Linked DNA regions of Rhinolophus ferrumequinum. The protein of the gene in region 3 purifies or fractionates together with the protein of the main gene of each other region. This does not show direct contact. Links are inferred from orthologs where the notes say so. Each region holds a gene or a part of one and is shown on either strand. Other genes may lie near its edges.

What was found.
Region 1: the proteins of KIAA1522 (region 3) and WASF1 purify together in Homo sapiens (affinity purification with mass spectrometry; 3 studies listed by BioGRID and IntAct, with this or other methods). This does not show direct contact. The link is inferred for Rhinolophus ferrumequinum from reciprocal best matches to the Homo sapiens genes NHSL3 and WASF1.
Region 2: the proteins of KIAA1522 (region 3) and ABI1 purify together in Homo sapiens (affinity purification with mass spectrometry; 3 studies listed by BioGRID and IntAct, with this or other methods). This does not show direct contact. The link is inferred for Rhinolophus ferrumequinum from reciprocal best matches to the Homo sapiens genes NHSL3 and ABI1.

The regions. Positions count from the first base shown.
Region 1 is NC_046286.1:62,590,951-62,599,067, forward strand, and holds the start of WASF1 (actin-binding protein WASF1), read right to left. Parts: upstream 3,318-8,117; 5' UTR 3,299-3,317; exon of another isoform or gene 2,832-3,298; intron 2,131-2,831; exon of another isoform or gene 1,990-2,130; intron 1-1,989. Other genes in the region: CDC40 (pre-mRNA-processing factor 17), read left to right, coding at 3,837-4,025.
Region 2 is NW_022680355.1:11,066,717-11,074,800, forward strand, and holds the start of ABI1 (abl interactor 1), read right to left. Parts: upstream 3,078-8,084; 5' UTR 2,865-3,077; coding exon 2,748-2,864; intron 1-2,747. UniProt on the Homo sapiens protein: May act in negative regulation of cell growth and transformation by interacting with nonreceptor tyrosine kinases ABL1 and/or ABL2. May play a role in regulation of EGF-induced Erk pathway activation. Involved in cytoskeletal reorganization and EGFR signaling.
Region 3 is NC_046292.1:22,406,659-22,414,825, forward strand, and holds the start of KIAA1522 (uncharacterized protein KIAA1522 homolog), read left to right. Parts: upstream 1-4,939; 5' UTR 4,940-5,073; coding exon 5,074-5,308; intron 5,309-8,167. UniProt on the Homo sapiens protein: Able to directly activate the TNF-NFkappaB signaling pathway.

The DNA.
Region 1 (8,117 bases), on a different chromosome or scaffold from region 3:
GTCCAACAACAACAAAATAACAAGCCTCTACTATTTGCTAAACACTATGCTAACATCCTTAGATTTATGACAGTAAACATTAAGTCAGTCTCTGTCCCTAAATAGCTTAGAAAAATCTTGAGTTAACTGTATTTACCCAAGTAACAATGACAGTTCAATTTTGGTTGGTCATTTAAGAAAACATTTAAAATGTAACCAAATTAATTCTCAAAAGGAACCATCCAATAGTAATTTTAAAGATTTTGAATAGTTTATCTATATGAACTGTCCCCACAAAGTAACCAAAAGCACTGTTTTTGGTAAAAGTTCTAATATTAATATTTTAAGTTTTTGCTATGAAAATTAACTGAGTTAATCCTTCAATAAAGAAATCAAAAGCTGTGATAATGAAAATCAGTACTTGGAAATGATAGACCTGAGTATTATGAAAATAAAGCAAAATGTATAAGTATAGTATTACACAATATTCAGACATTGTCTCTGAATATATGGTTATTTACAAACCTGAAAAATAAAGTAGTACCATGTCATACCTACAAATGAGCACAACTATGTATTTTGGGTTGTGTCAGCTACAAGTTTTTCAGTGAAAAAGGCCTTAATATTTTCTGGAGATTTTATTTTTCGCAAACTTAATTCAATATTCTACTTGCTTATTACGTCATATAACTTTTTTCATCAACGTTAACTACACGTACATTTGTAAGTACATATTAACTATAAAACCTACTGAATTTGCAATTATTAAAAACCCTTAATGGATGGGAAACAATCTTCAATTTAAGGCCATACCTTTCCAAAGCAAAATCCAATGTTGATAAATCAGCCATTCTAACATGTCACGGAAAATCCCAATGACATTTTTTCATTTTGTTTTACACCGAAATATTTGTCATCATTCATCAGCTAAAACATTCCAATTTTCTTTAAAAGCATTATGCAAACATCTTTACTGAATTTACACATGCTACTTATCGAATAAATGGGTATTTTTTATCTCCACTTACATATAAGGAAACCAAGGCACAAAGGTGTCCATTTTGTAAATTGCAAGGTCATTTTCTAAGCAAGCAACTGATCTTACACCATCAAATTATACTGTATGTGCGCCACTTCCAAGTGCCATAAAACAATTACTGTACCTTAAAACAACTGCCTCTGCAATGCCTATGTGCAATTCGGTTTTATCAAGAGGGTTATGGCAACAAGCTTAAGCAAGAAGAGCTGGAAAGGGAGAATTACAAAAACAAAAAGAAAACACTTATATTTGGTAGTGAATCATTTATTTTAAAATAATGAGATGTAAAGTTTTTAACATAAGAGCAAGTAACCAACAGTTGTTTCTTCCATTTTCAAAAAATATTTCATCTTTCATTTGGATCATGCAAAAATACCCATCCTGTAGACAGAAGTTAGAAAAATGATAAAAATAAAATCTGTAACAAATAATTAAATACATGATATTGCAAAGAAAACTGAATAAAAAATAAAATTTAGATAAATTAGCGAATGCACATTATAGTAGTTAAACCCCATCTTAAATATTAAATGCTTCCTTTCATTCAACTGAAGGCTATGATTAGCAATCAAATATTGTTACTGAAAATCAACACAAAACTTTTCTTATTCAAAACTTGAAAATTTTTATATCATGTACTTTATTCAAATAGTCGACCTAAATAAAAATACTTTTCCTAACAAACTTAGAGCATGAGAAAAGCTGTTCCTGAGAGTTCAAAGACTGAAACTGCATTTGTAATTATGATATAACGCTATCAACGTTAGAAAAATGAAAGTTACCTACCATACAAATTAAATTTAAGAACATTAGACGGGTTGAATAACCAATAAATCAACTACATAAATTACTGGACAGAAATAAGACTTAGCTAATACGTGAATCCAACACCCAAGAAAAAACTTAAAATATAATCGAAGACACGCCTTATTCAGAAAAGGACAGCATTAGACCAAGTCGTTTTAATGTACCTAGTCTAGCTGGGGATTAATTAATCGGCTATAGAGCAGGTTGTGAATGTTCAGGTCAGGGTGCTTTCTTCTCATCACTACTCCAGTTCCTCATCCGCAAGTGCAAGAGAAGGCGTCAGAGTACCGAAGCTAGGGGGCATGCTGTAGCCAGGGGAAAAGAAAAATGGGAAAGGTGCAGTGGATGCTGCATAGTTGAATAATTATCTGGGTGGCACAATGGGCGAGTCCGACCGACACTGAAGCCCAGGGAGCGGCTCCCTAACTCTGCCCGAGGCACCCCCCCATTAACAGGCATCAGAGGCGACCGCCCCGCTTCGCTTTCTCTTCAGGCGAAGAAAGGGTTCCCGGTACTCGCTTTACCGTTATGTGTTTAGGCACAGAAGCGCGGCGCAAACACGCAAACGCATAAGCTTGCTTTACAGAGCCCGGCACGTAGCGCGAGAAGGGGCTTCTCCGCCACCCCGTGCTGCAGCCTCCCCGGGAGCGAGAAGACACGGGGGTGCACCATGGGTGCAGGGCACGGGCGCTCAGGCGGTGGCACCGCAGGTGAGCCCTGCAGTCTCCCCACCTAGAGCAGCCTCAGGCGGTCCCTGCAACCGAGACCCCTGCGCGCCCGCCGGCCGCTGTCGCCCTCGGCACGCAGCCCGGCGGGCGGGTGGGCGGCGGGAGCTCTGGAACCCGCGAATGGGGGTGGGGGCCATCGCGGGGGAGGCGCGCCCATCCCCGTAACCTTTGCCGGGCTAGAGCACCACACCACCACTCTCCATTCTGGCCAGTGAGAAAGAGTTCCTCCCCAGCACCCTCTCCCCCCAAAAAACAATTCCTGAGAGATTCGCGCTCACCGTGAAACCTTGGGGGGCTCTTGCCTTATCCCTTTTTCATGCTTCGGCGGCAGCCGCCGGTCCCCCTCAGCTCCCGGGACTCCACCTAGAGCCTCCAACAGAGTAAGCTCCCGGGTGGAACCCGCTCCGAGCAGTGGCCGAGGGATGGGGCCACGGGGAACGCCGCCTGCGGCGCCCGCCGGTCGCCGGACCCACAGTATGCTCGACGCGCGAGCGAACAACACCGCGAGCCGCCGCCGCCGCCCCCCACCCGCCCCCTCCCCGCGCGCTCCTCTCCACAACTGGGCGCGGGGACCCACGCCTGAAGCAGGGGGGACCGCTAGACTCGCCAACTAACCTCCCATCCTTCCCACCAGGAGCTATAACCCCCCCAGTCAGGGTCTTCCCACTTAAGATTCTCGCTATCCTCTTCAGCCCCCAGTGCCTCGGTTCAGCGGTGGTGGAAAACTCAGCCTCCGTCCACTTACTCATCAGCGGGTATGAATATCAATCTTCCCCCCTTTCCTGAGGTTTTATGGTATAGCCCAATCCTCAGTTTGGGGGAGGGGGACAGAGAGAACTGTGCTAAGCCAGGGAATGAGGGAAGATGGTAGCCAATTGAATGAACCATCAATTCAGGGGCGGGGTCAAAGAGATGCCTGCCCGCCCCGCCCCGCCCCCTTGCTCCAAACTACATTTCCCATTGTGCCTCTCCCACTTTCCGTCGCGCTGCTCGCCGGGAGTGTAGGACCTCGAGGCCGCAAGGTACATAGGAACTCGTAGTCTTTAATTTAGTCAGAAGGTCCTGAAAGTTATAAACTATTATAATTCTCTCTATGTCCTTAGAGAAATGCTTCCAAATTCTCAGTTATGTTGTACTTATTATAACATTATTAATTTATTTAAAATGTCATAAATTATCGTAGCAAAGGAAGTAAATAATGTGTGCCATGGCAATCTGTCAGGACCTGGGAGCCGCTTCTTCTTCCGCCGGGGCCTGGTCTCCGCCGAAGTTCTGTTGCCGTCATGTCGGCTGCGATTGCGGCTCTGGCTGCTTCCTATGGTTCGGGTTCAGGGTCCGAATCGGACTCGGACAGTGAGAGCGGACGGTGTCCGCTGCCAGCGGCCGACTCCCTCATGCACTTGACTAAATCGCCTTCCGCCAAACCGTCTCTGGCAGTGGCGGTGGACTCGGCTCCGGAGGTGGCAGTTAAGGTAAGCGCTGTTGCCTCTGATGCGGTTCGGGAATTGGCTTCTGCTCCAAAATCTGACAGTCACTTTTAGGCTCCTGGTTATCTCTTCCTCAGTGCTGAGAGATACGTCACTAACTCTTGGATCTCTTCTTCCCACATGCATCTTCCTTGGGAGAAGCCGGGGGCTGGAAGTTCAGGACAGCCCTCCACTGCTCCCCGCTCCCGCCATCAGAAACCAAGTGGGAATAGGGAGTGAAATTTGAATTTGTGGATTAGGATGTGGCCTGGATAGAGCGTGTGTACTCTCACAACATAAGAAAAGCTAACTCAGGATTTCCCAAACTAGAGTATGCGCCCTCACTTGAAGTGAGTGGTGGCTGGGCTTTGTTTTGTTTTTGAAGTCAGAACTAGATCTTGATCCCAGCTCCACCACTTATGTGAACTTGGCCAAGTTATACAACCTCCTCTGTTTCCTCACCTGTACAATGGAGATTTTTTAAAAGCACCTATCTATATAAGAGGATTATTGTGAAAATGAAGTGAAATGCAAATAAAGCTTATAGCATAGAGCCTGGTATCTACTAAAAGTGCAATGCATGTTAGCTCTTTTGATTATATACCAAGGGTACTAAAAAAATGTATACACACTTTAAGAAAGGAAAAAACTGTTAAAACTGTAATAATACATACCAATAACAAAAGATGAATACAAGTCACGTTTGACTTTTGCAATTACAACAGGTGCTCAGAGTGGTTACCATCAGCATCCAGACGCTTCTGATTACTAGCTAGGTACTGCTTGAGCAACGTTGACCAAAGTGTCCACTTGTATACATTTTTTTGGCACCCCTGGTATGTCCACAGTGAGAAAAGCCCTTGGATTTAAGAACCAGCATGCTGCATGATCCCAACTGAGAAAGGTGATAGAGGGAGAAATTGGGTTATATAGTTGATTTAACAAATATTTCTTTGAACACATGTTATTTACCAGGAACTGTTCTAAGGTCTGAAGACATAGAAACCAACAAGCCAGACATCTTTGCCATCATGATACATACATTCTAGTGGAAGAGGCAGCCAGTGAAATGTGAGCAAATAAAGTGGTTACAAATTGGATTGAGTACTGTGAAGGAAACAAATAGAGTACTGTGATAGAGAATAAGGTGGGAGTATGACTTCGATAAGTTGGTCAGGGAAGTCCTCTCTGAAAAAGCAGCTTTGAAAAAGCGAGAAGCCAGCCGTGTGCAAACGAAGGCATGAGTTTCCAAACAAAGGAGACAGCAACCCTTCAGATAGCAGTTGCCTGTGTTTGAAGAACTGAGGAAAGATTAGTGTCTAGAGCCTAAGGAGAGCACCCACCAACTGATAGTGTAGGCCCCGTAGAACCTAATGGGGGTGATCAGAAGCTCAAGATGTAGTGAGTGGAGGCAGTGTGCAAAAATTCCTGTGTATTTAAGATGTTCCCAAGTCTAGTGTTAATAACTTAAGTCTTTTACCCCTGTTTAATGAGCTACTTGTAAATTTCACGTTTTTACTAATGGACAGCTGGTAAGAATGCTTAGAATCCTCCTATTTTTATAACAAAACAAACTCCCCCAAACTTAAACCCCTTCAGCAACGTCCGGAGTCTTCATTCCTTTCACAGCTCAGCTTTTTGGAGCTCTCCCGCTTCACTACGTGTTTTCCTTAACTCAAAGCAACCTAGTTTTCTTGGGAACACTCTTGGAGTCATAAGACGTCATAAAGCATGTAAAGTATTACTGTCATTATTTCCAATTGTAAACTCCTTGCTAGCTGCACAAACGATTAAATTTCTCTCTCAGAATGGCTCTCAGGCACCTCCATTCCAATGTGCTGAAAAATTAATGCATTTTCTTTTTCTCAAAATCTACTTCACCTGTTTTTCCCATTTTGATTAATGATCCCATCCATTAGTCTAAGCCAAGAATAGAGGGGTCTTCCTTTTCTCTTTCTTCTTCCTCAGCCCCTGAAGCTAGTCATTCATCTGGTTCTAACATTTCTGCTTCATTCATTTCTCTCAAATCAATTCCTTCCTCTTCATTTTCACTGACACAGGCTTCATATCTTCCTTACTTCTCCCAGGAGTCATTCTTGACTTTACTTTCTCTCAACACCGCTACTTTTGGGTAGTGGGTCCTGCCCATTATGGTGCCATGATGTTAATCAAATCTCTTTGCTCTTCTGCTGTCACCTTTTAGTTCAGATTCTTATCATTTCTCTTCGGGACGATGATGATAACCTTCTAACTAGTCTTTCTACCTGCTCTTGTCCCCCAGTTCCATAGCCCACTCTTTCCTTCACAGTGCACTCAGAGTGATCTTTCTAAAATCCAATATTATCATATCACTTCCCTGCCCAAAGACACCATGTTGCCTTTTGGGTAATTTCTCAGTTCCTTGTGTAACATATGATGCTTGCCGTTCTCCCACGCTGAAATCTCTGCAAAGGCTGAAAAGCCTTATTTTCTTTTTTCTTAAGATTTTGCCCAAACTTATCTCTCTGCCTGGAAATTGCTTGCTTCGTGCCTTCCTTCTCCGCCTCCCCAACCAAACTCTGCTGTTCTTCAGTCTCATGCACGTTTCCTCCTCTGTTTACCTTAGCACCTTTTTATACCTCAATTATAGCACTTACCACATTGCTGTAATTTGTTAACCTTTTTCTTTTCCCTGGACTGTTGTGAGGCCCTGGGAACCAGAGATTGTTGCATCTGCTCTCTTTCATGTCTCCAATGCCTATTACAGAAGATTAAGGGAAATATATTTGGTGAGAAAATGAGTGAAAGAGTAGGTAAAAAAGATGATCTTCAGAAAAGCATGTACAGTGAGAATTGATGTATATTGATTGGGTAGGGGTGAGGGGACGTCTCTAGAACTCACTTAGTTCAATCACTTCAAGAAAATCTAGGAGAGGTTACCTTAGGTCCCAGAGGTCCATTGGAAGCAGAGCTGGGGCTAGACCCTCTCAGTGATCTAGGCTCTATGATAATAGAGTAACGGACATTGATCATTGCTAGTTTGTGAACCAATTCCTCCTTATATGCAAAAAAAAACTTACACATAGTAAATGTAATGATAGAAAAGTGACTAAGGGAGGTGTGTAAAGCATGCAGATACATTCATCTGTATTTGACTAATTGTATTGTGACTAATAACAAGAATTTTGGCAGCTCGTGCAATGTTTTTAATCATTTCCTCAAATACAAGGTTTAATTCACAAAGAGGTATATAGCAATTTTAAATTCGTATGAACCTAATGTAAGTTCAAAATATTTAAGCAAAAATTGATAGAACTACAAGGAGAAGTTGACAAATCTACAATCACAGTGGGAGATTTTAATGTATATCTCTCAATAATTGATTTTTAAAAAAGCAAAACATACCAATACTGACACAGAAAATCTAAACAACAAAATTAGCAAACTAAAGGGTATAAAAAAGATAATACTCAATGCATAATATTTTTTTCAAGCACTAATAAAACATTTTTTTTTTTAACTGACCATATACTAGGGTAGGGATTGGCAAACTTCGGTACAGACCAGATAGTAAATATTTTAAGCTGTGCTGGCCACATATAGTCTGTCACATCTCTTTTTCCTCCCTTCTTCCCTCCATCCTCTTTCCCTCTTCTGTCCCTCCCTTCCTCTCTTCCTTCTTTCCTTCCTTCCTTCCACAACCCATTAAAATGTACCGTAAATGATAACTAGTTTATAATAATGATTAATATTTGTGTTCTGCTTTATAGTTTATAAGGTGCTTTCACATCTGTTTACTTATTTGTACAACAGTAAGAAATGTGAAAAGGACTAGAAAGTAAATATTTAGTTTTGTTCTCAAATTTCTTTGAATCAACAGAAGATAAACTTTTAAAACTTATTTGACCCATATGGTGCTCTTCACTTACTGCACTTTAATTTATATGGATAATTAAAACTTTGTAATTTTGCGGTAATTTCAATTGCGTGCCTAATTGTTATTGAACTCCTCATGGGTATTAAAACGAGATTGTGGTGTTGTCCAAGTTTTTCTAATTAAAGGTAAAATTAATAACCCTTTCTTTTCTGGAGGGTTGTTCAACTGGTTCTGTTATGTTA
Region 2 (8,084 bases), on a different chromosome or scaffold from region 3:
TCCTTTTTAAGATAATGTACTCCTTTGAGAAGTTCTGTTATTACAATACAACACTTAAAAGTCAACAAGACCCAAATTGCACTAGAGCCAAAAGAACCTGTCAACTAAACACCTTAACCTAATTGGACTATACTTCCAAAATGTAGGAAAACAACAAAATTAAAACTGAATTCTCAGGATAAAAATCACCCAGGCAGTAACTTAACTCATCTTGGGTAAAAAAAAAAAATCTCAAAACGCAAGTCACCACATACTTTCCCTGAGAGGAGGTACATTTACGTAGGCTGTTCATTATAACCCAATCAGGATCACAGAAAGGATACAGAAAGATCTCAAAAGACACCCAAATGGGTACGACTAGTACTTTTGTTCCCTATTCACAGCACCAAAGTTAGCAGCACAGCACATCACAAAGTCAGCTACCACTTCTCCTACAAAGTCTTCAGCATCTTCTAAGCCTGTCTGAGCCTGACCTTGTCTGAGCCTCAGGAAGGCAGCTAGCTAATGGCCTGCATCATGCCCCCCAAAGTTTAAAGGCTACTAAGATAAACATCTTTTTCCCCAGTAAGATCAGAATACCGCACTTGTGTCAATTTAGGACCACCAAAAAAAAAAAAAAATCTTGGGCCACTGATAGTGGTTCTTTGCACCACTGTACTAACGTGTTTAAAAGTAAGAGACTACATGAGAATAAAATGACTTATCTTAACTAGGGATATTACCAAGAAGTTTAAAAATGCTTCCAAGTTACATGATGGTGGCAGGAGGTGAAAAGGAAAGGGGTCAGGGAGGAAAAAAAAAAAAAAAGCCTTACAACAGCAGACAATTACCTGAAAAACAGTCACCAGACAGGTTAAAACACGTTTGCATTTGCCAACACTTAGCAGTTACCACATCATGTATTTGTCAGATTTCCCAACATGCAAAACAAAAAGAAGCCACCCTTTGTGAAGTACTATCTGCTGACTTCTACAAAGAAATGACTTCTGGAATAGGTGCAATTTAACTTCCTGTGCTCTCCCTTTGACTTTCAAAGTCCTTAAAATCTTCAGTAAATTGAGATTCACCTCAATTTTAATATTTATGTTAAATTGAATAAAAGCTGTATGTATTAATATCAATAAACTACAAGGTAACTTTTCTAATTGAAAACTATATCCACATTTCTACTTGGTTTTAGACTATTTCTTAAAGGCTAAATATAACGTTTGCAAAAACAAGAAATTTAGTAGACGTGGCAGGCATTCAACAAGTTTATCAGAATTCCTAAAGTAAAAGCTTGAAAAAGTTTGAGATAAATTCCTACTAGTGCTACTGAAGATATAATGTTACTAATATGGAAACTGAGAAATATTCAGAATATTCTGAAAACAGTATCTCCTTCTAAAAATAAGGAGGAAAAGCATTTGCCAACACAGAAACTATTGGTTCTTTAAAATGACAATCACATGGGAGGAATTTCTATAAATACTTTAGTTCTGAATTGCAATAACCCTAACCTTTCAAAGCACGTTTTGGCCATGTTTTGCCACTAAATAGTGAATTGTTGGTGCCCTTATATTGATAGAAAGGATTCTGGTACTTTATTTGGTTCTATTGTAAACTGTTGGTTTATGCAGTTAAAGACCTACAAACCAAACTATCACACCATAATTCACTTTCAATCATTAAAATAAAAACAAACAAGCATCTGTCATAGTTAAGGCCCCAAGAATTTTCTAATAAATTTACAGTAATATTTTACGTTATGGTTCTAAAACTAAGTATGTTCTGTAACCGATTTGGATTTAGAATCTATACATTCACTTATATTGGTAAGAGAAACCTTCAAAAAATAAGCATCGGGCGATTACACCATTCTATTTTAAGTTACTTTATGAAACCAACAGTTCAAAAACTTTTGGGGACGACAGTATTTAAGACATTTTTCCAAGTAGTTAAGATTAATTTGTGTTTTATAATAACGACAGCTGGAACCTCCTCTAGACATACGTTATGGTGAGGTGGAAGTGAAAATGATGAGAGGGAAGAAACCCGACTTGAAAACGGACAGGCAGGCAAATTTACAAACCTTCAATCAAAGGAATTTTGAGATTAACTTCTCTTAGACGTCTTCCCTCACTCCCCACCCGCTTCCTCCTCTCCTCGGGGAGGTCTGTGTAATGTGACTCATGACAAATTTTTTTAAATAAATAAATAAAAGACACACCCTCTGGATTGAACTGACATAATCTCCCCCACCCTACCCTCCCCCGATACACACACCCCGCTTTTCCTCTCGCTTCTGCTGCTCCTCCCTGTGCCTCGTCCCTGCCCTTTCCTCTCCCCTCTGTCTCGGTCGTAGACCCCTCGCCTGGCGGAGAGGCGGCCGGGTGGCAGCTGGGTCTCAGGCAGAAACCTCGCGACCGGCAGGCTGCGAGGGGGCAGCGCGACTCGGGGAGCTGAGCCCGCAGGGAGGCGGACGGTAGGGGGGCTCCGGGCCGCGGCGGGTTCCCTGCTCCCTCGCCCATTTTCTCTCTCCCCTTCTATCGGTTTCAACCACCACAGCCACTTCCTGTATCGCAGCCCGACTCCCGGAGCCCGGCCACTTGCTCTGTCCCCAGCTGGGGATTGGGGCTGGGGCTTGAGGCGGCCGCGGAGGTTAGGGCTGTTCCCCACCCCGCCCAGTAGGCTGGTCACTCGGGCGGCCGGCGGCGGGTCCTCGGCCCGGCCAGGCAGCGCCCGCCCGCGCGCCCGCGCTTCCTCACCTGTATGTAGTTGTTTTCACAGTAGTCCGCCACCCGGGTCAGGTTCTGGTAACTCTCTATCAGCGCCCTCTTGCCAGACGGGATCTCCTCCTCTAGTAACATTTGCAGCTCTGCCATTTTCCACCCCTCCGCATCGCTTCCTCTCGCGTTAAAGAGACAGAAACAGCAAGGTCCGCGGAGGTTCCGAGCACCTCACAGCCCGGATACAAACCGCCTACCCGCCCTCCCGCCTGGTATTGTGGGACAGCACCTCCCCTTCTTCCTCCTCACTCTCTCCACCCACCTCCACCCACTTCGCACTGCTGCCTCAACCTCCTTCTCTCGCGAGTCTTCATGCTTTTCCCTCCCCCTCCCCCACCACAAGATTTCCGCCCCCTTTTGGCATGGCCTTCTGGGAATTGTAGTTTTTCACAGGCCAGGCTTCCCATCAAAAACGCATGCGTCCAGGGAACCTCGGAAAAAAAACCCCAGGGAGTGTAATTTAAGAACGTCGACCTTTGGTGGTGGTTTAAATCCGGAGTTTCCTGACATCCCCGGGAGATGGCGCCAGAGTGTGATTCCCCGGAATGAAACTGTTTTCCGGAGAAGCCTGTGAAACTTGGCAGAACTTTGAACATTGAATCTATCTCACACCATGCTCCAAAATTTGTTCAGGATATATCATAGGTCCAAATATAAAAGGTAAAATAATAAAGTTTCTGCAAGAAAACAGTAATTTCACAAGCTTGGGTTAGGCAAAAATTTCTTAACTAGGATACAGTTAAGTACTAATAAAATTGGTAAGTTGTTTTTTAATAAAATGAAGACATTTTTCTTATCGCTGCTATAACAAATTTAGTAATAAAACAAAACTAATTTATTATCTTACATATCTGGACATCAGAAGTCAGTTGTCTAAAATTAAGGTGTCAATAGGGCTTTGTTCCTTCTAGAGACTGTAGAGAATCGTTCCTTGATTTTTTTCAGTTTCTAGAGACCATATGCATTCCTTAGTTCATGGCCACTTCTTCCATCTTCAAGTCAGCAGCAGAGTACATTCAAATCTCTCTCTGACTCTGACCCATCATCCCTCCCTCTTATAAGACCCCTGTGCCTACATAGATTTCACCTGGATAATCCGGGATAATTTCCCATCTCAAGATCCTTAACTGGATTATTATACATCTGCAAAGTCCCTTTTGCCACGTAAGGTAATATACTCACAGTGTATAGAGATTGTGACATGGACATTTTTGTGGGGCCATTAGTCAGTCTACTATAGCCATCATTAAAACACTCATTAAAAGACTATTAAAAAAGGGAAAAGAAAGGTACAACATATACATTTGACAAAGGACTCATATCCAAAATAAAATAATAAAAAAAACTCCAAGTCAATAAAGAGACAATCCCATAAAAAAAATTGGACAAAAAGACAACTGCACTTCACAAAAGGCCAATAAATATATGAAAAGGATCTCAACCCATTAGTCATCAAGGAAGTACAAAATAAAACCATAATCGCCACACTCTACCAGGATGTAGTATAAAATTTAAAAGATTACACTACACACCCATTACAAGGGCTAAAATTTTAAAAACCTGACTGTGGGGACAGAGCCCCAAAAAGCAGTTTCCAGGCTCTCAGCCTCACATAGAAAGGTGCTGGCTCAGGTAGTAAATGGCCATCAACTGTGATCAAATGGCCAGCAGCTGTGGCTAGTTGGCTGTCAGCTGTAACCAGTGAGCCATTAGCCATGAATATAACTGCCGTGGCTAGGCTAGTAGCAAAAAGAAAAAAGGGGGAGCTAGCAAGAAGATGGTGGCTGAGTCTGCAAGCGGCGCAGTGAGGGTTGAGAATTGTGTGGCTCCTGTTTCCTGTGTCTCCAACCCAGCCGCCAGCAAGAGTATAGAGATGTGACTCCCCTACCTATGGCTCCGTGGGTGTTCCTTTTTGGCTTCACCATGTCCTGCGTTCTTATGTGGGGAGTGGGACCAGAAACCCCGCCTGACGCCCCGCACGACACTGACAATTGCAAGTGCTAGTGAAATGTGGAGTAACTGGACTCTCAAACATTACTGGCTACAAACTGCTATAGCCACTCTGGAAAAGAGTTTAGTAGTTTCTTATAAAGCCAAGCATACTTAATTTATAATCTAGCAATCCTACTGCTAGGTATTATCTAAGATAAATGAAAACTTACGTTCACAGAAATATCATGATGTGAATGTTTACAGTAAATTTGTTCATAATCACTAAAAGCTGGGAACAACTCAAATGTCCGTCAGCCAGTTACTGGATAAACAAACTGGTACATCCAAACAATCGAGTACTCTTCAGCAATTAAATATAATAAATTATATATTCATACAAAGTCATGAATGAATCTCAAATGCATTTTGCTAAATGAAAAAAGCCAGATACCCACCCACCCACCTCCCCAAAAAATACCAGCGATACCTAGTGTTGGTAAGAATGTATTACATCTAGCACCCACATAAACATACACACACGGATATATATTAGGTTGGTGCAAAAGTAATTGCAGTTTTTGCATTTATTTTTAACTTTTTAAACAGCAATTACTTTTGCACCAACCCAATATATATATGTGTGTGTCATAAAATATACATAAAAATATATATGTTGTTATGTATATGTATACAAGTATAAAAGGGTACAATCACTTTGGAAGTGACTATTTGCTTTGGCACTACCTATTAAAACTGAATATCCACCTCCTTAAGGCCCAGCAATTCACTCCTATGTATTTATTCAAGAAAAATAAGTAATATGTGCATGAAAGGATATGTACAAGAATGTTCATAGCATCTTTATTCATAGGAGCCAAAAAATGGAAACAACCCAAAGACCTATCAACAAAAGAAAAAATAAATAAATAGTGGTATATTCATATTATAGAATACTATGCAGCAGTAAAAGGAACAAACTACTGATACATGCAACAACATAGATGAATCCATTGCTAGATGCACTTTCATGGATGAAAGTTGCTTTATTAAGTGAAATTAGGCAGACATAAAAAGAGTACATACCATATGATTTCATGTCTATGAAGTTCAAAAAAAGGTTAAAGTAATCAATGATGACAAAAATTAAGAATAGTAATCAACCATTGTAAAGGATAAATTGGGAAGCAATATAAGGAAATCTGGGGCACTAAGAATATTCTATGTCTTTATCTGATTAGTGGTTATAAGGGTACATATGTAAATAAAAAAAAATCATCAAACCGTACACTTAAAAGCAGTGCGTTTTTACATAATTTACTGTATGTTATACCTCAGTTTAAAAATGAAGAAAGAAAAAATAGTATTTTTTTAAAATCTCATCTACAAAAAGGGAAAATCAACAGACAAAATCAACAACAAAACTTACAAAATTTGCCAAGAAAAATTCTTGGCAAATTTATTGAACTTTAAAGATAAAAGAATAAAGGAATCTTCTGTAGAAAAAAACAGGTTACCGTCAACAGAAAAAGTATCAAGGTGACCTTTTCTTTTGCAATAGATGTCAAAAAAACAGTAGAACAAAGTCTATAAAATCCTGAAATGAAATTGATGTGACTCAGTGAATCTTTAGTGTAAAAGACAAAAACATCTAAATGCAAAGTTTAAACATCAAAAGTAAGTCGTAATTGAATTAATAAAATAACTGGTTATTAGAATGTCAAGGATAGAATAAAAAATCTTAAAAACTACCAGAGAGAACAGATTTTTCTACAAAAGAATTGCAATTAGTAAGCTCTTATTCAACAATAATAGATACAAAACATGAGGAAGTTATATCCTGAGACCGCTGAAGGAAAATGACTAAACCTAGAATTTAAACCCAGCTAAATGTCATTTCAAAGCCTAATCAAAATAAAGGGACAACAACATATTTACCATGCAAATATTAACCTAAAGGAAACTTGTAAAAATGAATGAACAGAAACCTAATTTAAAATGAAGTTGGGAGGCCACATCCTAAGTGGATTGCGGAGCAGAACAGGAAGAATTCTGTTTATAATCGTTTTCCCAACTTCCTCTTCTCTATAAAAGAGTTTTCTCTCCTTTGTTTCTCTGGACTTGCATGTGGTTCACCATCACACCACATGTACCAAATTGCAATTCTTTGTTGTTCCCAAATAAACTCATTTTGCTGGAGAAATATCTGGCTGTCTTTTGTTTATGGTCAACACTATTATAGCAATAATAATGTCAAGATAATCACATCAAGGCCAAAAAACATTACAAAGCATAAAGAGGACATTAGATAATAATAAAAAGACCAACTCATCAAGAAGATGTAAGCATAACTTCTTATGAGCCAACATCACAGCCAATCAATATATAAAGCAAAACCTTTACAAGAAAAAACTGACATATCAACGATCATAAATGGAAGATTTTTTTATTATCTTTATTTGTATTTTTTATACATGGAAAATTTTAACATATGTCCACCAGAGACCAAAGAAGCAAGCAAAAAGTTGATATAAAATATTTGAACAATAAAATTAACAAAAGCACAAGTAACCAATATTAGAGATGAAAACAAGGACATAATACAATTACAATAATGAAAACTAAACAATTTTCAGATGTCCAGGAGTTACTAGGATGAATAATAAATATGAATTCTATCTGTATCTCCTTCAGTTGGGAGGAAGGGGGTAGAAACAAATTGTGTGCATCAGTTCATGTTCTTTATTTGTGCAGTGATGTGGGTTTCAAACTATTTTCTAGAAGATATTTTAATTTGAGATCCAAAAGGCCTTGCCTAATTGAAATGGGTCATAGACCTAAATGAACGAGATAAAACTATAAAATTTCTATAATAGAACTTAACAGAAAATCTTAGTGCACTTGGGTTAAGCAAAAACTAAAAAGTACATTAAAACATGAAATATGAAATAAAAAGATGATAAATTGGATTTCATCAAAATTTAAAACATCCGTTCCTCAAAGACATCATTAAAAAATGAAAAGGCAAACCATAGATTAGAAGAAAAATATTTACAAAACAAATATCTAGTAAAGGAGTTGTATTCATAATATATGTACTCATAATATATAAAGAACTCTTACAATTCAATAATAGGATGACAAACAAACTGAATTTTTTAAAAAAGATCAAAGATTTGAACAGATGCTTTGCCAAAGAAGATACACAATGACAAACATACAAAAGGGTGCTCAATGCCATTAGTCACTAAGTAAATAAAAATGTAAACCACAATAAGATACTACTACACAACCATTAGGACCACTAAAATTTAAAAGATTGCTAATATTAGTGTTGTCAAGAATGTGGAGCAACTGCAACTCTCATACACTAATGATAAGAATGCA
Region 3 (8,167 bases):
ACTGGTGAAGTGGGTGTCTGTAAACACGTGGAGGGCCCCACCCAGCAGCCCCTACACCAAGCCTTATCAGCTGGCAGGCCAGGCTGGTCATTCTGTTTTGGGGGTGAGAACTGAACTCCTCTCCTTGGAGATCAGTGAGCCCTGTGGATCTAAGGGTCAGGAAATCCCTGCTCTCTCCACCTAGGTCAGTGTCCATCTGGCTCAGCTTTTTGTGCTTGTCAGATGCAGCCAGACAGTTGGGAAACAAAGCATGTGTCCATGGCAACCCGCCTCTGCCTTCAAACTTCAGCATTTCAGTGGTTTTTGTGGCCCCTTCTTCAGGCCCAGCGCTGGGATGGGATAGATGGTGAGGGTGAGTAATGAAGCTTCAGCATATGTGTGTTGCACCCCACCCCCAACACCCCGGCACGCTCAAATACCTCCACACACACCACTTCCTAGGGGAAATCCTCTGATGTTCAGATGGGGAAACTGGTGCCCAGATAGTGCAAGTGTCTTGCCCAAGGACACCCAGCAAGTTAATGGCAGGACTGCGAAGAGAACCAGGTCAGGCTAACTTTTGACAAGCCATTAAGCCGAGTTGGCTGCAGAACTCATTTCTGCACAGACCTCAAAATAAAGCTTCTCCTGATATATATCCACCAAATTGTAAAGACTCTTACCATTTGCCCCTGCTTGTCAATGGGGCACAGTATTTTCTAATTATCGTGTAAAACTGCCAAGGAAGTAAATTGAATGTTGGCTCTTAGTTAAAACCATAACCATCACCTATAACTCAGGGTTTCAAATTTGGAGTCCTTCAAAATGTCATCATTGTTCTCGCTGATTTACTTTGTGGTGAGTAAAGTTTACGTTTTGAGTTATAAAATAAATTTGTACTTATAAAAACATTGCTTTTATCTATTTTACCTCTCAGATAAAATTTGGGTAGGTTTTGTTTGAGGGGAAAAACCAAAAGTTCCAATGCTAAAAGGAAAACTTTGAAAACCACTTGTCAACACTGGGCACAGCTAGGAAAGTGACACTCTGATCACAGAATAGTTGGTCAATCTGGAAGCCTGGGGCACAGAACTGGTCTCAGGAGATAATTGCTGAAAGAAGGAAGGGACTCAGAAGTCATTCCACATTGGAGACGGGGCAGTGGCAACAGCTACTTTTCCTTTCTCTCTGTCTCTGCCTGCTCTCACCTCTTCCTCCTCCTCTCTCTCATCCCTTCCCTTCCTCAGCCTCCTAAGAGCTGGCACCAATTCAGAACCGGGAGCCCTCGAGACTCCAAAGATTCCAGGCACACACCACTAACACCTTGGGTTATCTCACCTCTCAACCCAGCAGGGAAAATGGGCGGAATTAGGTTTGGGACCTGATTCTAAGAGCTGCTGGGAGGATCAAAGAAGACCTCGGCAGGGAGGTTGTTTGATGTGTTAACATGCTGCCACAGATGCCAGGAGCCACACTGTAGTGGGCACAGGAATGCACACTGGGAATGGGACCTGTGGGGTTCTCCCCTCACCCCCACCCCCAGGCTGGGGAGGAGCCAAGAGGGAGGGCATCCGATGCAAGGAGCCCCTTTCTATGTTCTCCTCCCACTAAAAAGAATCAAAGGGTGGATTCTTAGATGTCATTCTTAAACAGGAACCCCTTTGAGAATCTGGTTAAAGCTGCAGACCCTTTCCCCAGATCAACACATGCAAGGGGTTTCAAAGTTAAGCAGAATATTTCTGGAGGTGTCTGGAGGCCTAACTGTGGCCCCAGGATAAATACTCCCTTTTTCTAGGGTCTTAACTGCCAACTCTTGAAAGTAGCTTGGGTGGAGTGGGGGAGGGTGCCTGGCACAACGCAGGTGCTCAATTAGGACACACACACACACACACACACACACACACACACACACACACAAACACACAAGAACACAAATCTGTTTTACATTTCACCTCTGCCCAGAGGTAACTGTGTGACTGTTGGCAACTCACTCCACCTCTCCTTAGCCTTTTTTGTCCATGGAATAGGAATATATTAATCTTTCAACATCTTCAACTTTGCAAAACTGCCCTGCCCTCTACTAAAATTCCAACTCCCTCCAATCGATCTAATAAACACTGAGGGAAGCCACAGGTGCTCCCACTCCTGGCTGTGTGCTATGCAGGCTCTTTCCCTTCCTGGTGTCCCTGTAAAATGAGGGAGGTTCAGCCACACCTTGGCCTAGCTGCCCAGGCTGGAGTCTGTGCGGAGGAGGCCAGGCCCAGCAGAGGACAAAGCTGCTTGGAGCCTGTGGGAGGCAGGTCTCCCAAGGTGGAGGTAGGGTTGGGGGGTTGAATGGGTGTGAGAGCAACATGGGGTGGTCCTGGGCTTTCCAAAGACAGAAAGGGCAAACTAGAGGGTCCGGAGGCTGCTGTCCCAAGCCTGGTTGTTGCTGGTTCTTCCCTGGGGACAGGCTGGCACTTCCTGCCTAGTCAGGTGACAGCCTGGCTCCAGGATGGACTTTGGGCCATGCTGACAGGGTCTGCTGGGAAGTTAGTTTCCTTAGCTGCCCATAGAGCCTGCAAAGAACTATAGCTAAGCTGAGCAATCGTAAATCCAGAGAGCAGGGTTGCAGACTAGCCCTTCCTAGGCTAGTCCTCTTTGGGTGTCTTAGAAGCATGTCCACCCACTAGGCTAGGGGACAAGAGGGAAAGCTTGGCCTGAGGGTGGTCCAGGTTGGAGACGGGAGGTGAAAACATCTGGGTGTTGGAGTTAGGAACAATGAAGGGAATAGAACCCTGACCTCTTCCCACTCTTTACCTTCCTCTCCTCTCCTCCAAATCATGGGACCCAATCTGTGGGTTGACCCCTAGGGATTCTGGTTTGAGGGGAGCCTTTGCTGAAGAATTATGTGAGCCATTGGCAGGGCCAACTTCATGGGGGTAGTCACACAATGTCCTGCTCTCAGAAGGGCCCGGTGCTTGGTTGAATGCTCTGCTGTTTTCCTCTTGACATTTTTAATACCTTTTGAACAAAAGGCCCTCCATTTTCATTTTGCACTGGGCCTTGCAAACTATGTAGCTGTCCTGGCCAATGGGAAGAAGGGGGTAATGAAAGAGTTGGTGGGGGGCAAGACTGACTAGTATTCCTCTCCTGACCACTCCTTCCAAAAGCCAGAGTATGTTTGCCTTCCTCTCTCCTCCCTACCCAATGCAACCAGACTATCCAGCAGTCCAAGGCCCTGGGCACTGCTTTCTCTCCAAGTCTCAGCCCTGCCTGTGACACTTTTCCTTTGACACTCACTAACTGAGGGAGCAGCAGTGCCCTTAAGGATATAGTGCTGGGCTGGGCAGGGAGCACCCTGAGGACAGGGTCCAGTGTGATCCCTGAGCATGACAGTGCTTGATCCAGAATGGGTGCTTTAGGATTGTGGGCCAGACCTGAATAAATGGCAGTTAGATGGGAAACTGAGGCCCAGCAAGGACAGCGATCTGCCCTAGGCCTCCCTGGTGGGAAGCATGTCAGTGATGGCCCAGGTTTGCCACAGCTCAGCCCCTGGGAACACTCAGGGGCTAAGGCTGGTTAGGGAGGTCATACTCTGCACTCTAATCATCCTACAATATCTACACTATGCTGGGGTTGACTAGTCTGAGTGCCCCAGACAAATGGGTTTGTGCCTTCGTGGAGACCAGGACCAGGGGGGAGCTATGTGACCAGGGTCAGGTTGGGTGACAAAGACAAATTCTAACTGGTGGGGTGATCACAGTGCCTCTCTGGGGACCCAGGACGAGAGTCTGCTGAACCCAAGCTGGCCCCTAGGGCAATTTCTAGCCTCTGGGGACCCGGCGAAGACAAGACTGAGATTGCTGGTCTTGGCTCCTCTGCTGCTGACCAGCAATCACTGTCCCCCTCCTCGCCTCAGTTTTCCTCCTGTACTGTGGAGGTAATACTCTCTTCCCTGCTTCCCTTCCTCGCTTGTTATGGGATCAGATGATATAAAAGTGCTTGGTCAGCTATAATAAAGAGCAAGAAGCATGGAGGAAATGAGCACAGGATTTTCACGATTCCTGAAGGCTTTCTTCTCTACTAGCTTCCCCAGTCGCTTCTCATATACAGAGGCTATCAAAGCACCTTATGAGACAGGAGTTTAGCAAGCCCCAGTTCAGCCCTGATCAGTATTGATCATCTCTGGGAAATCTAGACCCAGGCAGGGTGCCTTGGGACCTCACAGCCTAGCCCAAGGATAAACTGAGGCAGGGCTCTCCTCATCCTAGTCACCAAAAGGTGAAACGGGAACCCAGGAGGCCTGGGTCCCAGGTTCCAACTTAGGATTGTTGGAAGCTGGGGGAAGGTGTGGTGAGGGAGGGCAAAGCAGCGAAGAAGGGGCGACTTCCCAATCGCCAGATGGGAGAGGAAAGCCCACTGTCCGTCACAGGTCTTAGGCGTGGCTAAAGCCTGTCATTAGAGCAAAACCTCCAGTACTCCCCGGGTCCTGGAAAGAATTTTCAGAATCCCTTATTCCAGGTAAAGAATTCCAGAATCCTCCATCTCTTCTCAGACCAAACTCAGGATACCAAGCTCTCTTATGGTCCTGCCCTAGCATTTCTCTTCTCCTTCCCTGAGCGCCCTCCTCCTCCAACCACTGCCAGTGCCTCCCTCTAGCGAACCGAACACCCTTTAGTGGCCCCGCCGGGACAGAACCTCAGTACCGGCCCCCTCGGACCCGCCCCGCGACCCCGCCCTCTCGGTCCCGGGCAATCCAAGCCGCCGCGGGGGGCTCTGGGGTCTCTCGGCACCGGACCTCGCCCTCCCCCAGCCCCGAAGCGCCCAGGCCGTGGCGGCGGGCCCCGGGGTGGCGGGGAGGGGCAGCAGGCATCGCCGCTCCCGCCCCGCGGCCGCTCCCTCCTCGGGCTCCTTCCCTCCGGGCGGCCCCCGCGCCCCGCCCGCCGCCGGTCGGCCCCTCCCGCCGCCCGCTCGCTCCTCGCTCGCTCGTTCGGCCTCCGCCGCCCAAACTTTTCTCCGGCCGCGTCTCCCGCGGTGGCCGCCCGCCCGCTCAGCGCATGGGCGCCCCGTAGCAAGGGGCCTGACACCGCCGCCAGGTCCGCCCGCCGCGCCATGGCGGCCCGCGAGCCCCCCGCCGCACCTGCGGCGGACGAGCCGGGGGGCCCCGGGGGTCCCCCGCGCAGGAAGAAGTCCCGCTCCGGCGCGTCCGGCTTCCGTCGCGCTTTCAACTGGCTGCGGGGCAAGCGGCGCAAGAAGAAGGCAGCGGGGGCGGAAGGCGCCGAATCGGCCGCCCCCCGGGCCAAGAAGGCGGATGACAAGGCCAGGAAAACCAAGAGCAAAGGCCGAGGTAAGGCGCCCGGCACCTGGGCTGCGCGCTGGGCGGCGCCAGGGTGCGGCCAGGGTGGCTCCGCTGGGGGTCCGCGGCTGTTGGAGGGGGGTGAGTCCCCCTAGGCGCTAGTGCCGGGGCAGCGAAGAACCCAGGGCTCAGCCCGAGCTACCCCAGTCTGCGCCGCCCCCCAGCATTTCCTAGACTCATCCCTGCCCCGTTCTAGGGGAGGAGACCCCCGGCTCCGGCAGGGATCCCCTGGCTTATGCAGGAAGTACTGGTAGTCTGGCTCTTGGGACGGTGAGGCAATCTCCCATCCCCCAGGCTCACCCAGGTTTTGCCCTCTGCTGAGTCAGGGGGTCAGAGATTGATTCTGGCCTGGGACCAAAGGGAGAGGCAAGTGGCCTTGCGTCTCTGGTGGGGGTCCCTCTGGGTTTAGAAGGTCAACTGCACTCAAAAAGGAGTTCCAGTAGGCTAGGTGGCCCCGGGTTTCCAGCCCCACAAAGAACCCAGCATGGAGCAGAGCATGCTTTAGGTTCTCAACAGTGTTAGCTTTTCCCACCTGGCCCCCCTCACCACTCACCTGGGCCAAACCGCAAACATCCACCTTCTGGGGCGGTGAGCTCACGGAGGTGAACCAACTGCTCTGCTCCTCCCCTTCACTCCACCCCCCAGTCCTGTTAGAAACATGCCAGTGTTGTATGTGTGCTTACAGATGGGGGAAACTGAGGCCCAAGTTAACGGAGAGGCTGGACCTGGGCTGGGTATTTAAAATACTACAGCTAATTCCCTACCTCTGGGCTTTCTTTGGCCTGATGGATGGGCAGCCTGAGGTGAGGCTGACTTGGCCCATACGTGCTGGGGTCACTTTTCTTTTGGCCACTTGCTTGGTTCTTCTCTCATTTCCCCCTCTGTTTCTGTCTCCTGTTTGAGGGTGGAGGGCATGAGTTTCTGCAAGAGGGTGGGGCTCCCTTGGGGCTTGCCATGCTCCGAAGTCTACCTTTACTATGTTTCTGCTGCCCATCTGGAGGTGAGGAAATGGCAGTCTGTGTGGCCCATCCCATTCTGCCAGAGTTTACCCTCCCAGTGTCCTTTAACCACCTCCTCTGGAGGAGAATTAAAGGAACACTTTAGGTATCAGGAAGACGGTGAAAAGCCTGTGTGATTGCATCCGGCCTGATCTTCCTTTTGGATAAGGGCCCTGCTCCCCTGTGGCAAAGCCACAAATAGAAGTCAGGGTTCTGGGGCTGGGATGGCTGGGCTAAGCCCTGAGGGAGAGTTTGGATGAGGGGTGTTTCCAAAGGCTCTGCAGTCCCACAGGACCTGGGGTCTGACCCACTACTGCCTCACTGGGATTCATTGTAAAGTCGTCCCTATCTCACTCAAGAGGGCCTGGGTCAGAGTTGCAGTAGGAGGAATTGTGGTCATACTGTCAAGATTGGAGATAGGAGGCAGTGGTATACCCCAGGGCAGTGGACCCTTTCCTCCTGGGAGACCAGTCTAGAGGCAGTGGTTGGAAAAGCTGACCTGTAGGTCCCTGCTCCAACCGCCTGGGTTAGAGGTCATTGGGTCAGGCCTCCCCCTGCTTTGTGTTTTGGTATCAGGTAGCACTGGGCTTTTCTGGGCAGCAGGTTGCACTGATTTGAGCCTACGCAGGAAACACCTTCCTTGCCCCTGGCTGTTGTTTCCACAGGTCTAGGGGTGGCCCCAGGTACGCCTGGAGGAAGTCCTGCTCCCTTTTGCTCCAACCTCCTATTATTCCAATTGTTTCTTTGTCACCTGCCTGGCTCTACTTCTTTTCTGTTTATTAAGAGGAATAAATCTGATCTCTCTAATCTCCACTGGCACTGCTGGTCAGGAAGGGGAAGCCCAAAGAGGGCTTAACTCTTTCTGGGGAAAATGTTCAAATGAAGATTGGGGGAGATGGGGAGGAGGGATACACAGAAAGTTCCTGGGATGTCAAGGGCCTTTGCTGGGCCATTATCTCCCCCATCCCAATCTCTGAACCAAAGACCCAGAGATGTAGGTCATGGCTCCCCTAATCTGAGTCCCCTACTATAAGATGGGAAAGCTGAGTTTGGAATAGAATTTTGAACACCTGTTTTCCGGGACCCCCCTGCTCCTGTCACTGTCCTGCACAGACTTAGAAGGAAAAGAGAAGAAATCTGACATTTATTGATTGTTCTGAATATGCCAGGAGCTCTGTATCCATTATCTCATTTGAGCCCATTTGCAGATGAAAAAATGGAGGCTCGGGGACAGTGAGTGATTAATTTGCCCCAAATGGGATTTGAACGCAAATCATCTGCCTCCCAAACTGGTACAGTTGTTATGACTCTCCCAAGGACACAGACCAGTGGGTAAGGCTTAAAGAGCTCATCCAACCCATTCTACAGATGGGAAAAGGTCCAGAAAGAAGTGAGGGAACTTGATAGAGTGGGAAGAGGTTCAGAGTCAAGCAAATAAGTGTTCAACTCCTGTCTCAGCTGCGAGCAAACCATGACATTGAGCAAACAATTTCCCTGTGGCCTCACTGATTCCATTACTGTCTCAGGAAAGAGAGGGGACCTTCTCACGGGAGAGATCCTCTGGCTGGACATGGCCTTGATGGGTCTGTGACCTTTCTGTCTCTCCAAGATTCTCACAAGAGAAGATGTGAAAATTATATGAAAGTGAAGTCACCATAGAAATGCAAGGGATTGCTATTACTGTGTTTATACATTTAATCACCTGTGTTCTAAGGACCCAGACTGGAAAGAATGGACTCTGGGGCTGACTGAACAACTCTGCTGCCCTGGTTTGCCCTTCTCAGGCCACAAGACCCTGGCAGGTTATTAACCCCTCCAAGTCTCAGTTTCCTTATCTGTAAAATAGGGATAA